Macaca fascicularis: one gene and its partner. The protein of the gene in region 1 binds, or shares a complex with, the protein of each later gene. Links are inferred from orthologs where the notes say so. Each region holds a gene or a part of one and is shown on either strand. Other genes may lie near its edges.

Region 1 (7,591 bases):
TCAGGCAGTTCTTGAGTCAGTGTTCTTAATAATGATCCTAAACTCCTTCTCAATTACCGAATCACCTATATTTGATTTTTTCCATCCCTAAAGTAATGGAGTTAAATCTACCTGTCTTTATTACCCTAAATGAAAAACATAAGTAGAGCACTTTGTAATGCATAGTGTTAAATGGAGACTATTAATAACCTTTATTTGTAATTTGGAATATTCATTTTTTAATGCAATAATTATTTCACTTTTATACTTAAAGGTCTGTAACTATTCAGGAATTTCCTTGTAAGTAGAGACGCACGATCTACTTATGTCCTTTTCTGCCTAGGAGAACTCTGGTTAGATCTATTCAATATATATTACTGTTTGGTTAACACCCTTGCAACTTGCAGGGAAGTAAAGCATAAACACAGAAAAGGAAATAAAAGTTCCCATCACATAAGGTTAAAAATATTATTTTATTTTAAAAATTTTATTTAAAAAATTGTATAGTTTTCCATAAACTATTCAGAGAAGGGCAAATTCAGTTTCCTCAGATTCTACCAGAAGTCTGATCCTTTAGGTTAATGTTTTCTGCTCAAGAGTTAGATTCAGAAGTAATGGAATAAAATTATCTATTACAAGCATACTTTGGTTGATACTTTATCAGTGATATGTCATTTAAATACGCATTACTTTGAGAGATTTGGACTTAAGGGGCAAGTTTCACCCTTAACTCTTAATTTTTTAGTAGTCAGATGTTTATATGTATCAGTTTTCCCTTGTTGGAGCTTTAACGTAATTCTCCTTTATGAGATGCTAAGCTCTCTACATTCACATACTCTCAAGGGTACATGGCTAATACAGATAAATCATACATGTAATGTTTGCATCCAGATGTAATTCATTTTTTGTCTTAATAACTGGACTTTTATCTATCCAGAGGCTTTCTCGTTACATCTGTGATCCTTACAGACTACAGAAAACATAGCAGTTTTAAGACACATGCAAAAAAGTTTCCAGCCAAAGAGATTTTGTGATGCTCCATAAATACTGTACATCTGTTATTTATCTGGCATATTACTTTAATAACTACACAAGGCCATAGACTTACAATGTATTTATGATGAAAGTAGTTTCGTAAGCTACCATATAATGTTAAACATTTTCAAAACAAAAGCACACTCTAAGTGATGAAAAGCTGTTGGGAGTATTTATTTTTTTACTTTTATTTTTTATTTTATTGAGATGGAGCATCGCTCTGTCGCCCAGGCTGGAGGGCAGTGGCACGATCTCCGCTCACCGCAACCTTCGCCTCCCAGGTTCTAGTGGTTCTCCTGCCTCAGCCTCCCTAGTAGCTGCGACTACAGGCACCCGCCACCACGCCGGCTTATTTTTGTATTTTAGTAGAGACGGGGTTTCACCATGTTGGCCAAGATGGTGTTGATCTCTTGACCAAGTGATCCGCCCGCCTCGGCCTCCCAAAGTGCTGGGATTACAGGTGTGAGTCACTGTACCCAGCTTTATTTTTATAAGATCACACAGAGGTTAGTTTTTATGTTTTTGAGATGGAGTTTCGCTCTTGTCGCCCAGGCTGGAGTGCAATGGCGTGATCTCAGCTCACTGTAACCACCGCCTCCCGGGTTCAAGCGATTCTCCTGCCTCAGCTTCCAGAGTAGCTGGGATTACAGGCATACACCAACACTCCCAGCAATTTTTTTGTTTTAAACAAAACTCTTAACACCTCGTTAATCATTAATTAGTCTTTGGGTTTTGATTCAACTCCTAACATTTGCAAATCACACAATTATCTTTGTTCTTTCATTTGTGGAAGACACTTTCATTTGTTACCCTGAGAATATGAGACATTCACAATCTAATTCCTGACTACATTTGATTTCAAACAGATCGGAATAACTTCCAGAATATAAAATTTTAACTATTTGGGAGTCATCTTGTAGGTATCTTGTGGGTATGCTCTAATTAAGAAATGCTTCCTTTTCCCAGGAAAACTGCTGACATTGCAAGAGTTATTCCAAAGCCACAATTCTTAAGAAAATACATGTTTAACCTAAATCATAAAGATATTTTGTAAAAAAGGGAAATCGCTCCTGCTGATGTTTTGTGTATAAATCTCTTTCTAACTTCAAGCTCTCTCAAGTTAGGGCAACACAGTAAATAAAGTGGGAACAGTATCACATTGGGAAATATCTGAAATGATACCTATGGCACTATAAGGAAACTGAGGCCCAGAAGAATTGAAGTGACCTGTGCAATGACACCAATACGTTAGCAGAGCCAAGATTAGAACCAAGTTTGGTGCCTTCCTGCATCAGTCCTTTCTTGGTGCTGAAGGAGCCTTTTATTTATTAATTTCACCCTGGAGAATTCCGGCAGACCATCCCGGCGTGGTAGAAGCGTGAACATTCGTTTTCTAAGGGATGGTCACACACCTTTTTCTATTTGCATTTAGTTTCTTTAAAAAGTAAAAACACCTCCATTTTGGACCACTTTTAGAGACAAAAGCAGAACATACGAACGTGCATTTCATTGTTGAGTTCTTAAGACGCTTACACCGTGTGGTTATAACGTGCGCAACTTTGTCCCGGCCAACTGGACTTATTTTTAGTGTTATTTTCGGCTCCTGCTGCAGAAAACTAGGGATTCAACTACCCGCACCCGCATTTCACACAACAGCGCTCGTCTACTCTCCTCCTTCACTCCTAATAAAAAACGCCTTATCCTGTTTCTTCCTGCCTGCTCTACCTCAACATTTTCACTTATTATCTTCCACCACACTGGGTTTTACTCGGATTGGAAACCCACTCTCCCCCAACTTCTCTCTCGTACCCCACCTTCGGGAAGCGTCCTCCTTTTTTCCGCCTCTCGTTCCCTTTGTCTTACACGGCTTCCGGAACACGGCCCAGAATTACAGCGAAAACACACTGCGCACGCGCACTCTCTCGTCAGAGCGGCGCTGCTTCTGTTTGGTTGGCTAGTTCGTCCCAATTTCCGAGTCAAAGGGCTGCGGAGCAGCAACTCTCACGATATTTGCGGCGGCCCGCAGACGCGAACCGCTGCCGAGTTCTGGCGCGCCCTTTCAGTTCTGCTTGTGGCCGGCACCACTGCGTTATCCGGAACTGCCGGTCCGAGCAGCATGACGTCCGCCTTGGAGAACTACATCAACCGTATCCTCAAGCTGGCCGCCGCGGGCGTGAGCCGGGGCCGCGGAGAGACCGCCGCTCGGGGATCGGTGGGAAGTTGGGAGGCCCGGCCGCGGCGGGATCCTGGGGGCGGGCGAGATGAGGACCCCGGAATGACCCAGAGTTCGGCGGCGGCGCCTAGAGCCTGCCAGCTGCTGCGGGCCCAGGGGTCCTTTCCATTTTGTCTACAAAAGCCAAATAAAAACCCAGTGTGATTTTTCCGAACTTTTCTGTCTTAAAAAAAATTACGCTCTTGATTCTTCCTTACTATTTCCCTAGGGCATAAGTGTTCAAGTTTGTAAATAAGATTAACAGTCGTCCTGGCTGCGACAACAGTTTTGCAAATCTGTGTACTTGTTTTATTCACATAATATGCTCATTAGTTCGAGGATAGCAGAAAGTTTAACGATGGTTCACAGACTGTTTCTGTCCCTTTACCACTTGAAGACCCTACCTGGTGGTGGAATGAAAAAAATGCTTGCTGTTGTAATGGATTATAGTGAGGAGCAAGTAACAACCCCACGGGAAGTCTTAAAATAGACTTTACAAGTGTTACCGTTTTAAAGTCTCAGAACAAAAACACTATGTTAAGTTCAGGTACAAACTGGGTGACAAAAATTAAATACCGAATGCTTTTAATGTTACAGGCATTGTTAGTACCTTGTGACACTGATTATATAGTTTATTTACTTTTGAATTACAGAAGCCTGCCCCGGAAGACAGTTTTTTAACATGCTTGAAAATCGTCCAACATCGATGAATTTAGTACTCATCCAGTTTTCATTTTAGATATAAACAGGCCCAAGAAACGAAATATCCTGTCCGAAATAATAGATTGGCAGCATTCCTAGTAGAAAAGTGTCAAAAATCCAGGATATTTTGAGATAGGATACACCGATCACATACAGAAAGAGGTTTTCTTTTCTATTTTTTCCTTTTTTTAGTCATGTAATTATCACAAAACTAAAACAAGCTTTTAAAAAATTTTTTTTCTTTCTTTTTTTGAGTCGAGGGTCTCACTGTGTTGCCCAGGCTGGAGTGCAGTGGCTTGATCATGGCTCAATGCAACCTTGAACTCCTGAGCTCAAGCTATCCTCCTGCCTCTGCCTCTGTCTCCTGAGTAGCTGGGACTATAGGTCACCAGGCCAGGGTAGTAGAGATGGGGGGGGTCTCACTGTGTTTCCCAAGCTAGTCTCACCTCAAGTGATCCTCCTGCCTTGGCGTCCCAAAATCTTTCAACGTTTTTATGTAGTGAACTTAGTGGCTGTGTTGAACACTTTTACCTAATTGTCATATTTGTTCTAATAATTTAAATCATTACCTTGCCAGAGTCTGTTTTCAATTTGCATTCCCTAAGAAACACTTTCCTTTATTCAGTTATCAGGAACTGTTGCCGTTATTACATCTGATGGGAGGATGATTGTGGTAAGTCTTCGGAATTTTCATTCTCTGCTTTCCTGTAGGTTTATTGGTTGCAAGTTTTATGTGAAACCTCTGATCTCTAATGCCTAGACAGCACATTACACCTGTAGTGCAGTTTTATTATAATTCAGCTCTTTATCACTTTGCTGTCAATCCACGTTTTCCTCACTCATAAACGTGGCGTGTTACCTACAAGGCTTCTAGGAGCTAGAGTTATAGATTCTGCCCTCAGAGAGCTCCTAGTCTGCAGACCTTCATTAAACTTACTTTTCTTCTTCCATTTTTATTTCCTTCCTCATTCGGCACCACATGAATCAGAATTTTTTGAAATTTTGCATATGCTTAGTAACTTTTTAATGATTTAGATACTATTAATATCTACATATCAACATTTAAGGCTTGTATACAATCTTAACATTCTTTGTTTTTAGGTTGTGTGACATGTCTTCTGTAGGACACATTATGATGATTGACTCTCTCTATATACACATATTTACGTAAAATTGGCTTGTTCCTTGAAGTTGTTTCTCCCTTGCTAATTTATGTCATATAACAAAGATAAAACGTTCCTATGGTGATACTTGTATTTGGAATTTGATCTGAGGAATTCATCTCAAGATTTTTGGGCACTTGATTATTTCTTCACTTATAATTCCTACTCCAAATGCTTTCAAAAGAATTTTAAGGCTACTAAACTTTTCTAACCCTACCTAGTTTCTTTAAATAATTTGATCCCTTATTTTTCCATTCTGCAGTTTTGCTTTCGTTTGTTCTTAGTGACTATTGTTAGTCAAAGTTCTAGCTTTGCCATTTACTAAATTTATATCGTGTGCCAGGTGCATATGTGTTACATTAATTAATGTACATACAACCTTGTGAAGAATAAGTACCCCTGTATTCTAGATTAGGAAACAAGTTCAGAGAAGGTGACTCACTTTCTCAGAGTCACAAGGGTAGCAGGTGACAGAACCAAACTGGGATTTAAATTTGGTTTGACATCAAAGCCAAGGCCAGTTGCCTGGCTTCTTTCTTAAGGAAGCAATCATGTTTTCTTAGGCACCTCACATTGTATTTTTTCAAATGTGGACAGTTTGACATATTTTAACCTCAACACTTCAAGAAGCCTATTGCTATTAATAGATGTTTGCATTATTTTTTATTTAGTGAAAACCTTACGTTTAAATTTTCTTATTTTTGTTAACAGGATAATAAACTGGGAAATTATTTTTAATTTTAAAGAAGAAGGAAAGCGATATAAAAAGAGCATCTTAAGTTCTAAAGTTCAATAGTTCTGTATTTCTTTGACACATAATTTATTTGATGGGATAGTTAATGGGCAAAATGAAGCCAATAAGTTATGAATGGGTGTTTATAATAATAACCATTTGCTAACTAGTTCAATAAATACTCCATATTTTGTTTCTCTTCCAAGTTATAGATTTCTTTTTATTTAATTCTCATTTTATATATTTTGACTTTCAGAGGATAAAACAGTTTAAGAGCTTGAGAGATTTAACCATCAAAACCAATGTTAGTTGATAATTCTTCAGAAACTTGAATACCATCTGAGTTACTCTGTTATGCTAGACCCATGCCTTCTTTTATTCAATTCTAAACTTTCATAAAACTCTCCCTGATTATTTCCTTCAAGTTCTGGTTCTAATTAGTATAGTCACATTTGTATCTACCTTACTGGGAGAGTTCAATAATACATCCATTTGATACACATTAAACAATACATGTGAGACAGACGGAGCACCGGTAACTAAAGTACTCGTTAGGTGTTATATGTAACTACTAAATTTTTAAAATATTTATGGGACTGATTTGAATCTCTGAAAAATGGCAAATTATATTTACTTGTGTATGATAGTATAGAATGTTACGGTTTAGTGGTCTGACTCAGGAGCTAGCCTTTTGTGGTTCATCTCCTGGCTCTGCCACTTACTACCCATGTGCCCATAAGACACACCACTCTGTGCCTCAGTTTCTTCTTTGAAATGGGGCTAATTATAGTATTAAAGGGTAGAGATGAGTTGAGACAATGTGTACGATGTGTTTAGCACACTGCTTAGTGCTGGTATGTAGCATATAGTGATACATTACATTGCTGTAGTTGGTATGTATGGTTCTTCCTTATTTATGTATATTTGCCCATCAGTTTCCCTTAAATCTCCTTTGTTTTAGTTTATACCTTTAGCTGCTGGTCTTCGTAAGCTTTTATGCTAGTTACTTTTTGGAGATACTCAAATTAGTACATAGTTGTCGTTTCTAACTGCCGTCAACTCTGCATATGAGTGAGATGTGTGGTGCAGGACCCCCACCCCAGCCAAACAACCAAGAGGTAAATTGTGTACCCTCGAATACTGTTGGTTATAAAAAAGGTATTTTATTTGACATTGTATTGTTACTTGTATTGGAATACTTGGCAACTGAAATGATTGTGAGGCTGAATTTACACTTTCAGGTAAACCAGAATATTTCTCTTTTTCTCCTGAATATTTTCTTTACAGGGAACACTGAAAGGTTTTGACCAGACCATTAATTTGATTTTGGATGAAAGCCATGAGCGAGTATTCAGCTCTTCACAGGGGGTAGAGCAAGTGGTACTAGGATTGTACATTGTAAGAGGTGACAACGTGTAAGTAAAATATATCTGTTAAAATTATAAATGATACTGCCTTACTTTATGGAGAAGAGGTTTTACCCAAAATACCCTATTGTATTGTCCATATGTAATTAATAGAATCTTGCATTCATTTCTTTTGTAAATACAGCGTTTCTTATATTTGCATAAAGTAAGGCATAGCTATACATTTTATGTCAACACTTTATGTTTCAACCAAAGCTTTCTCTCTACAAATTAAACTTACCTGAGATTTTCCATTTTTCTACTAGTTAAGTAGCCTGGGTAGAGTCCAGAAAGGGCCCTGCCTTATATTAAATACTTCATTAGAGAGGCTTCTTCATGTGTTCTTAGAAATACCCAGAAT
Region 2 (7,662 bases), on another chromosome or scaffold:
GTTCTAAAATGCAACGGCCCTTAAGTTCCTCTCCTCACCATTCCCTGCCATGTCAACGTGTAACCCACGAAGAAATTAAATCACATAGAAATGTGGAAGACAACCAGGCACATGGCACATGCCTGTAATTCCAGCACTTTGGGAGGCCAAGGTGGCAGGACTGCTTGAGCCCAAGAGTTTGAGACCAGCCTGGGCAACACAGTGAGACTCTGCCTCTCCAAATAATTAAAAAATTAGCTGGGCGTGGTGGCATGTAGCCCCACCTATTCAGGAGGCTGAATGAGCTATGACTGTGCCATTACACTCCAGCCTGGACAACACAGTGAGACCCCCATCTCAAAAAAATAAATGTGGAAGACACTTTTGGGAAGAGAATACAATTGACCCCATCTTTCTAAAGGATAACGAGATAATAGGTATCAATATTTTAAATGTACTTTTTTTTTTTTTTTTTGAGATGGAGTCTCAGTCTGTCGCCCAGGCTGGAGTGCAGTGGCCTGATCTCAGCTCACTACAACGTCCGCCTTCTGGGTTCAAGCAATTCTCCTGCATCAGCCTCCCGAACAGCTGGGATTACAGGCACACAACACCACGCCTGGCTGATTTTTGTATTTTTAGTAGAGATGGGGGTTTCACCATATTGGACAAGCTGGTCTCAAACTCCTGACCTCAGGCATCTGCCCGCCTTGACTTCCCAAAGTGCTGGGATTACAGGTGTGGGCCACTGCATCTGGCCTAAATGTACATATCATTTAAAGGACTGTACAGATAAGTACAGGGCCAGGCATGCTGGCTCATGCCTGTAACCCCAGCACTTCGGAAAGCTGAAGCAAGAGGATTGCTTGAACTCAAGAGTTTGAAACCAGCCTGAGTAACAAAGCGAGACACTGTCTCTAATTTTTAAATAAATAAATATTATTTTAAGAAAGAAAATAGGACTAGGTGCAGTGGCTCACACCTGTAATCCCATCACTTTGGGAGGCCAAGGCGGGTGGATCACAAGGTCAAGAGTTCAAGACCAGCCTAGCCTAGATGGTGAAACCCCTTCTCCACTAAAAATACAAGAATTAGCTAGGCATAGTGGTGGACGCCTGTAATCACAGCTACTCGGGAGGCTGAGGCAGAGAATTGCTTCAGCCCAGGAAGCGGAGGCTGCAGTGAGCCGAGATCGCGCCACTGCACTCCAGCGTAGGTGACAGAGACTCCATCTCAAAAAAAAAAAAAAAAAAGCCAGGCGCAGTGGCTCACGCCTGTAATCCCAGCACTTTGGGAGGCCGAGGCAGGCGGATCACAAGGTCAGGAGATCGAGACCATCCTGGCTAACACGGTGAAACCCCGTCTCTACTAAAAATACAAAAATTAGCCAGGTGTGGTGGCAGGCGCCTATAGTTCCAGCTGCTGGGGAGGCTGAGGCAGGAGAATGGCATGAACCCGGGAGGCAGAGCTTACAGTGAGCAGAGATCACACCACTGCATTCCAGCCTGGGCGACAGAGCGAGACTATCTCAAAAAAAAAAAAAGAAAAAAGAAAAAGAAAAAAGCTGGACATAATCATATTTCTGTTCTGTATCACTTACTAGTTTTGTAGACTTGAACAAGTGGTATAGCTGATCTAAGCCTCAGTTTCCTCATATGTATAACAGCAATAGTACATATTACTAAGGAGTGTTTGAGAAATCAATCAATAAATGTATTCAGAATAGTGCTTAGTCAATAGGTCTTCAGATATTATTTTTCTTTCCTTAAGCACCTATCATACAACTGGCCTATACTAGGTATTAGATACACAGTAGCATATCTAATACGTAGGTTTCACCATGTTGGCCAGGCTGGTCTCAATCTCTTGACCTTGTGATCCACCCACCTCAGCCTCCCAAAGTGCTGGGATTACAGGCATGAGCCACCATGCCCAGCCTATGGCCTGTTCTGTTTTTTTGTTTATTTTTTTGAGATGGAGTCTCGCTCTGGTCGCCCAGGCTGGAGTGCAGTGGTGCCATCTTGGCTCACTGCAAGCTCCACCTCCTGGGTTCATGCCATTCTCCTGCCTCAGCCTCCCAAGTAGCTGGAACTACAGGCGCCCGCCACCACACCAGGCTAATTTTTTGTATTTTTAGTAGAGACGGGGTTTCACCATGTTAGGCAGGATGGTCTCAATCTCCTGACCTCGTGATCCGCCCATCTCGGCCTCCGAAAGTGCTGGGATTACAGGCGTGAGCCACTGCGCCTGGCCTGGCCTGTTCTTTTTTGAGACAGTCTTCCTCTGTCACCCAGGCTGGAGTAAAGTGGTACAATCATGGCTCACTGCAGCCTCGACCTCCTGGGTTCAAGTGATCCTCCCACCTCAGTCTCCCGAATAGCTGGGACTACAGGCATGTAAACCACATCTGGCTAATCTTTTATAGAAATGGTTCTATGTTGCCCAGGCTAGTCTCGACATCCTGGACTCAAGTGATCCTCCTGCCTCAGCCTCCCAAAGTGCTGAGATTACAGGTGTGAGCCACCATGGCCAGCCTAGTACTTACTCTTTATTTATTTTTTTTGAGACAGAGTCTCACTCTGTCACCCAGGCTGGAGTGCAGTGGCGTAATCTCAGCTCACTGCAACCTCTGCCACCCAGGTTCAAGCGATTTTCCTGCCTCAGCCTCCCAAGTAGCTGGGATTACAGGCACCTGCCACCATGCCTGGCTAATTTTTGTATTTTTAGTAGAGACGGGGTTTCACCATCTTGGCCAGACTGGTCTTGAACTCCTGACCTCGTGATTCACCCACCTCGGCCTCCCAAAGTGCTGGGATTACAGGCATGAGCCACACGTCCAGCCCATGAGCCACCACACCTGACCAGTATTTACTCTTTAAACTGTATATTGCTTTGTATTGTTTTCCAATACACAATACAATCCCCAAGCTTATCTGTAAATTTAAGGCACAAGGCATTTATTTATTGTTAAATTTTAAAATTTGTCTTAGAGATGGGGTCTTGCTCTATTGCCCTGGCTAGAGTGCAATGGAGTAATCACTGCTCACTGCAGCCTCAAACTCCTGGGCTCAAGCAATCCTCCCTCCTCAGTCTCCCAAAGTGCTGGGATTACAGGCGTGAGCCACTGCACCCCACCCATTTATTTCTTTTGTTTGTTTGAGACAGAGCCTCGCTCTGTCACCCAGGCTGGAGTGCAGTGGCGTGATCTGGGCTCACTGCAAGCTCTGCCTCCCAGGTTCACGCCATTCTCCTGCCTCAGCCTCCAAAGTAGCTGGGACTACAGGCGCCTGCCACCATGCCTGGCTAATTTTTTGTATTTTTAGTAGAGACAGGGTTTCACCGTGTTAGCCAGGATGGTCTTGATCTCCTGACCTCGTGATCCGCCCACCTCAGCCTCCCAAAGTGCTGAGATTACAGGCGTGAGCCACCGCACCCGGCCATTTATTTCTTCTGTACATATTCCACCTCACCCAGCCCTCAAATATTTCTCAAATTAAAGAGGTTCCAGGGCCCTGGGCACACCCACCCCCAACAGACTTGTTGGAACAGGTACCTACCTCAGGTCATTCTTGAGTTCCACGACCACATCCTTGCCCACAAGGGACTTGAAAAAAGAATAGAAGAGCTATTGGGAGAGAGGGGGAAAACCATCATGTGGGAAGGAACATGGTAGGGAGGAGTGTCCCTTGACAGTATTACCAAATACCGGTATTGTGAACCCCATTGCATCCCTAACAGTTCTCAAAATTTCACAGGAAAGAATAATTGGTTGAGAGGTGAAAGGCTGGAGCCCAAATTATTCTGCACACTGCATTGAGCCCATCACTTAAAGTCCCAGAGAGGCTCTGCCCTGCATACCTCGGCCTCCCCAGTGTGCTCTCTCAATCGACCACCTTTCTCGGGTACCTGCCCACTCCTTTCAATGAATTACAGAAAACATCCCACCCGCACCCTGCCGAAGCTTGCCTGGCAGAGAAGTGCTCTAAGGTCTAACTTTTCCGTCTCCCGCTGTCCCCACTGAATCTCTCTCAGGGTTGGGGTTTTTTTCCTCATCATGGAAAAAAAAATCCCATTTGCTCTCAGGTGTCTCCTCAACGAACTTGAGGAACAGGACTAACGATGAAGATAAAAACTCCGGACCTAACTCCAGCCTAGGGGGACAAAGGCCAGACCCCCCTGCCCCAACCGTCCGAGATCCCCGAGGGCGACCCCTTTTGACGTCACGGTACCCACCATGGTGCTGGCGCAGCGGGCAGCGGGCCGGAGCGAGAAAAGAGCCGGATGCTGAGACCAGGTCTGGGAGAACCGAAGCGCGAGCCCGCGCGTGGGGCGAGGCGGGACCGCGCAGGCGCAGCGGGAAGGGACGCAGAACCCTCCAAGCGCTGAAGGGTAAAGCGCGGCCGACTTGCGGCTGGGGAGCGCAAGCTGGGTAAAACCGAGGGGAGGAGGAAGCCGGGAAAGGGGCGGGGTTTCCTTCGTTCCGACTTCTTCCAGGGCCGGCCGGCTCCCATTGCGCAGGCGCGGACCCTAGCCTGGGCTGCTAGGCGGGTGGAGGCACTCGGCGTCTGAGCTCAAAAGGTTTTGTTTTCCATAACCCTGCCGTCCACAGCGTGATGTGTTCGTGCCCTCTACACACATCCTATCGAGAATTGTGGGGAGTTTGTGAAGATTATGAAGTGTGCACTTTTCTATATTTGTTAAAGTAAAAACATAAAATTCAAAAAATAAAATTAAAAAATGTTTTTAATCTTAAATTCAGCTGATAAAAAAAAAAAAGGCCGAGGGCGGTGGCTCACGCCTTCAATCCCAGCACTCTGAGAGGCCAAGGTGGATGGATTGTGTGAGGTCAGGAGTTCGAGACCAGGCTAGCCAACATGGTGAAGTCCCGTCTTCACTAAAAATACAAAAAAAATTAGCCAGGCGTGGTCGCGGGCGCCTGTAATCCCAGCTACTCGGGAGGCTGAGGAAGGAGAATTGCGTGAACCCGGGAGGTGGAGGTTGCAGGGAGCCAAGATGATGCCACTGCACTGCAGCCTGGGCGACAGAGCGAGACTCGTCTCAAAAAAAAAAAAAAAATTGGCCGGGCGCGGTGGCTCACGCCTGTAATCCCAGCACTTTGGGAGGCCGAGACGGGCGGATCACGAGGTCAGGAGATCGAGACCATCCTGGCTAACACGGTGAAACCCCGTCTCTACTAAAAAATACAAAAAAATAGCCGGGCGAGGTGGCGGGTGCCTGTAGTCCCAGCTACTCGGGAGGCTGAGGCAGGAGAATGGCGTGAACCCGGGAGGCGGAGCTTGCAGTGAGCTGAGATCCCGCCACCGCACTCCAGCCTGGGTGACAGAGAGAGACTCCGTCTTTAAAAAAAAAAAAAAAAAAAAAAATTGACCGGGCGCAGTGGCTGACGCCTATAATCCCGCACTTTGGGAGGCCAAGGCAAATGGATCACCTGAGGTCAGGAGTTCTAGACCAGCCTGGCCAACATGGCGAAATCCTGTCTCTACTAAAAACCCAAAAATTAGCCAGGTGTGGTGGCACGCGCCTGTAAACCCGGGAGGTATAAGTTGCAGTGAGTGGAGATCGTGCCATTGTACTCCAGCCTGGGCAACAACAGTGAAACTCTTGTCTCAAAACAACAACAACAACAAAATGTTGAGGCTTGTAAATCCCAGCATTTTGGGAGGCTGAGGCAGGAGGATCATTTGAACCCAAGAGTTACAGTGAGCTACGATCTCCCCACTGCATTCCAGCCTGGGCAAGACTCTGTCTATAAAAAAGAAAATTATAAAAAACAAAAAAATGTTGAGGAGTCCCAGAGATAAGGAGCTGGAGCACAAATTTTGGTTTTATCAAAGGTTACCAATAAATATATTTCTCCAAAGGAGCCAACCTCAATCTCCATATTTCTTACACACTTTTGCCAAGACTGTCCTGTAAAGGACTGAGTAAAAAGAGACTGTGGCTTACAGATGCAAATAACCCAGTCTAACATTTCACTGCCAAATGTTTCAAACACAGACAGAAATGCACAGTTACATATCATTCTAACTCATGTCCCCCAGGTTTTTATAAATGTATATTAGGACACAGGTAAAAGAAAACAAATTTTTTTGAGATGCAGTCTTGCTCTGTCATCAGGCTGGAGTGCGGTGCCACGATCTCAGCTCACTGCAACCTCCACAACCCAGGTTCAAGCAATTCCTCTGCCTCACCCTCCCGAGTAGCTGGGACTACAGGCGTGCACCACCATGCTCAGCTAATTTTTGTATTTTTAGTAGTGACGAGGTTTCACCATGTTGGGCAGGATGGTCTCGATCTCTTGACCTCATGATCCACCCACCTCGGCCTCCCAAAGTGCTGGGATAACAGGTGTGAGCCACTGCACCCGGCCGGTAAAAATATTTTTTCATGGACTAAGACTTCATAAACTTATATTTGTCATCTTGCATAGAAGTACTTATTTGTCAAGAGTTTGTTATAGAAATATTTTCTGGGGCTAGGCATGGTGGCTCACGCCTATAATCCCAGCACTTTAGGAGGCTGAGGTGGGTGTATCACCTAGGTCAGGAGTTCAGAACAGCCTCGTCAACATGGTGAAACCCCATCTCTACTAAAAACACAAACATTAGCTGAGTGTAGTGGTGAGCGCCTGTAATCCCAGCTACTCAGGAGGCTGAGGCAGAAGAATTGCTTGAATCCGGGAAGCGAAGGTTGCAGTGAGCCAAGGTCATGCCATTGCACTCCAGCCTGGGCGACAAGAGTGAAACTCTGTCTCCAAAAAAAAAAAAAAGAAAGAAAGAAAAGAAATATTTTCTCCATATAATGAATGTAAACAATGAACTCTGTGAGTGCACAGATGCTGAACCTCCTGGACCTTACCTATACATCAGGACATCAAGCAGGATTTGTCCCTCCACCCCAAGCTGAGTCCTAAACACCAAAACCAGCCTGTAACTGATTAAAAGCAGTTATAGTTTACAATCTGTTCCATCTGTGCTAAAGGTATCTGAGGATCAAAAATTATGTGCTGATTGAAACAATGAGTTCATGGGCCGGGCGCGGTGGCTCACACCTGTAATCCCAGCACTTTGGGAGGCTGAGGTGGGCAGATTCTGAGGTCAGGAGATTGAGACCATCCTGGCTAACATGGTGAAACCCCATCTCTACTAAAACAATACAAAAAATTAGCCGGGCATGGTGGTGGACGCCTGCAGTCCCAGCTACTTGGGAGGCTGAGGCAGGAGAATGGCGTGAACCCGGGAAGCAGAGCTTGCAGTGAGCCGAGATTGTGCCACTGTACTCCAGCCTGGGCGACAGGGCAAGACTTCATCTCAAAAAAAAAAAAAAGAAAAGAAAAGAAAAAAAAACCCAATGAGTTCATGAAAATTCAAATACTTTACCCTTACTAATTTAATCATTCACAGTGAGCTCACAATCAGAGAACACATGCTCTCTCCATGAACTCTCCCCTTCGAGGTACATTCACAGCCTAAATACCAGAAGTAATTTCCTTTAGGAACAAATTTACTGATTGACAAATAAGCATCCACACAGGAAAAAGAATGTTAGGGTGGCTGGAAATAACAGACATTCAAATACATCACACGGTTTAAAGAGGGGCCTAGTTTTCCTGAGTCCATTCCAGAGTCAGAAACAGGATATGAGGGAGTGTGATAGGTGGTGCAT

What was found. The genes of interacting proteins can lie anywhere in the genome.
Region 2: LSM8 (region 1) and LSM2 share a complex: the UniProt entries of both Homo sapiens proteins name them as parts of the precatalytic spliceosome. The link is inferred for Macaca fascicularis from reciprocal best matches to the Homo sapiens genes LSM8 and LSM2.

The regions. Positions count from the first base shown.
Region 1 is NC_088377.1:159,619,096-159,626,686, forward strand, and holds the start of LSM8 (LSM8 homolog, U6 small nuclear RNA associated), read left to right. Parts: upstream 1-3,019; 5' UTR 3,020-3,130; coding exon 3,131-3,161; intron 3,162-4,560; coding exon 4,561-4,601; intron 4,602-7,111; coding exon 7,112-7,239; intron 7,240-7,591. UniProt on the Homo sapiens protein: Plays a role in pre-mRNA splicing as component of the U4/U6-U5 tri-snRNP complex that is involved in spliceosome assembly, and as component of the precatalytic spliceosome (spliceosome B complex).
Region 2 is NC_088378.1:139,904,116-139,911,777, reverse strand, and holds the start of LSM2 (U6 snRNA-associated Sm-like protein LSm2), read right to left. Parts: upstream 4,196-7,662; 5' UTR 4,033-4,195; coding exon 3,943-4,032; intron 3,602-3,942; coding exon 3,534-3,601; intron 1-3,533. UniProt on the Homo sapiens protein: Plays a role in pre-mRNA splicing as component of the U4/U6-U5 tri-snRNP complex that is involved in spliceosome assembly, and as component of the precatalytic spliceosome (spliceosome B complex).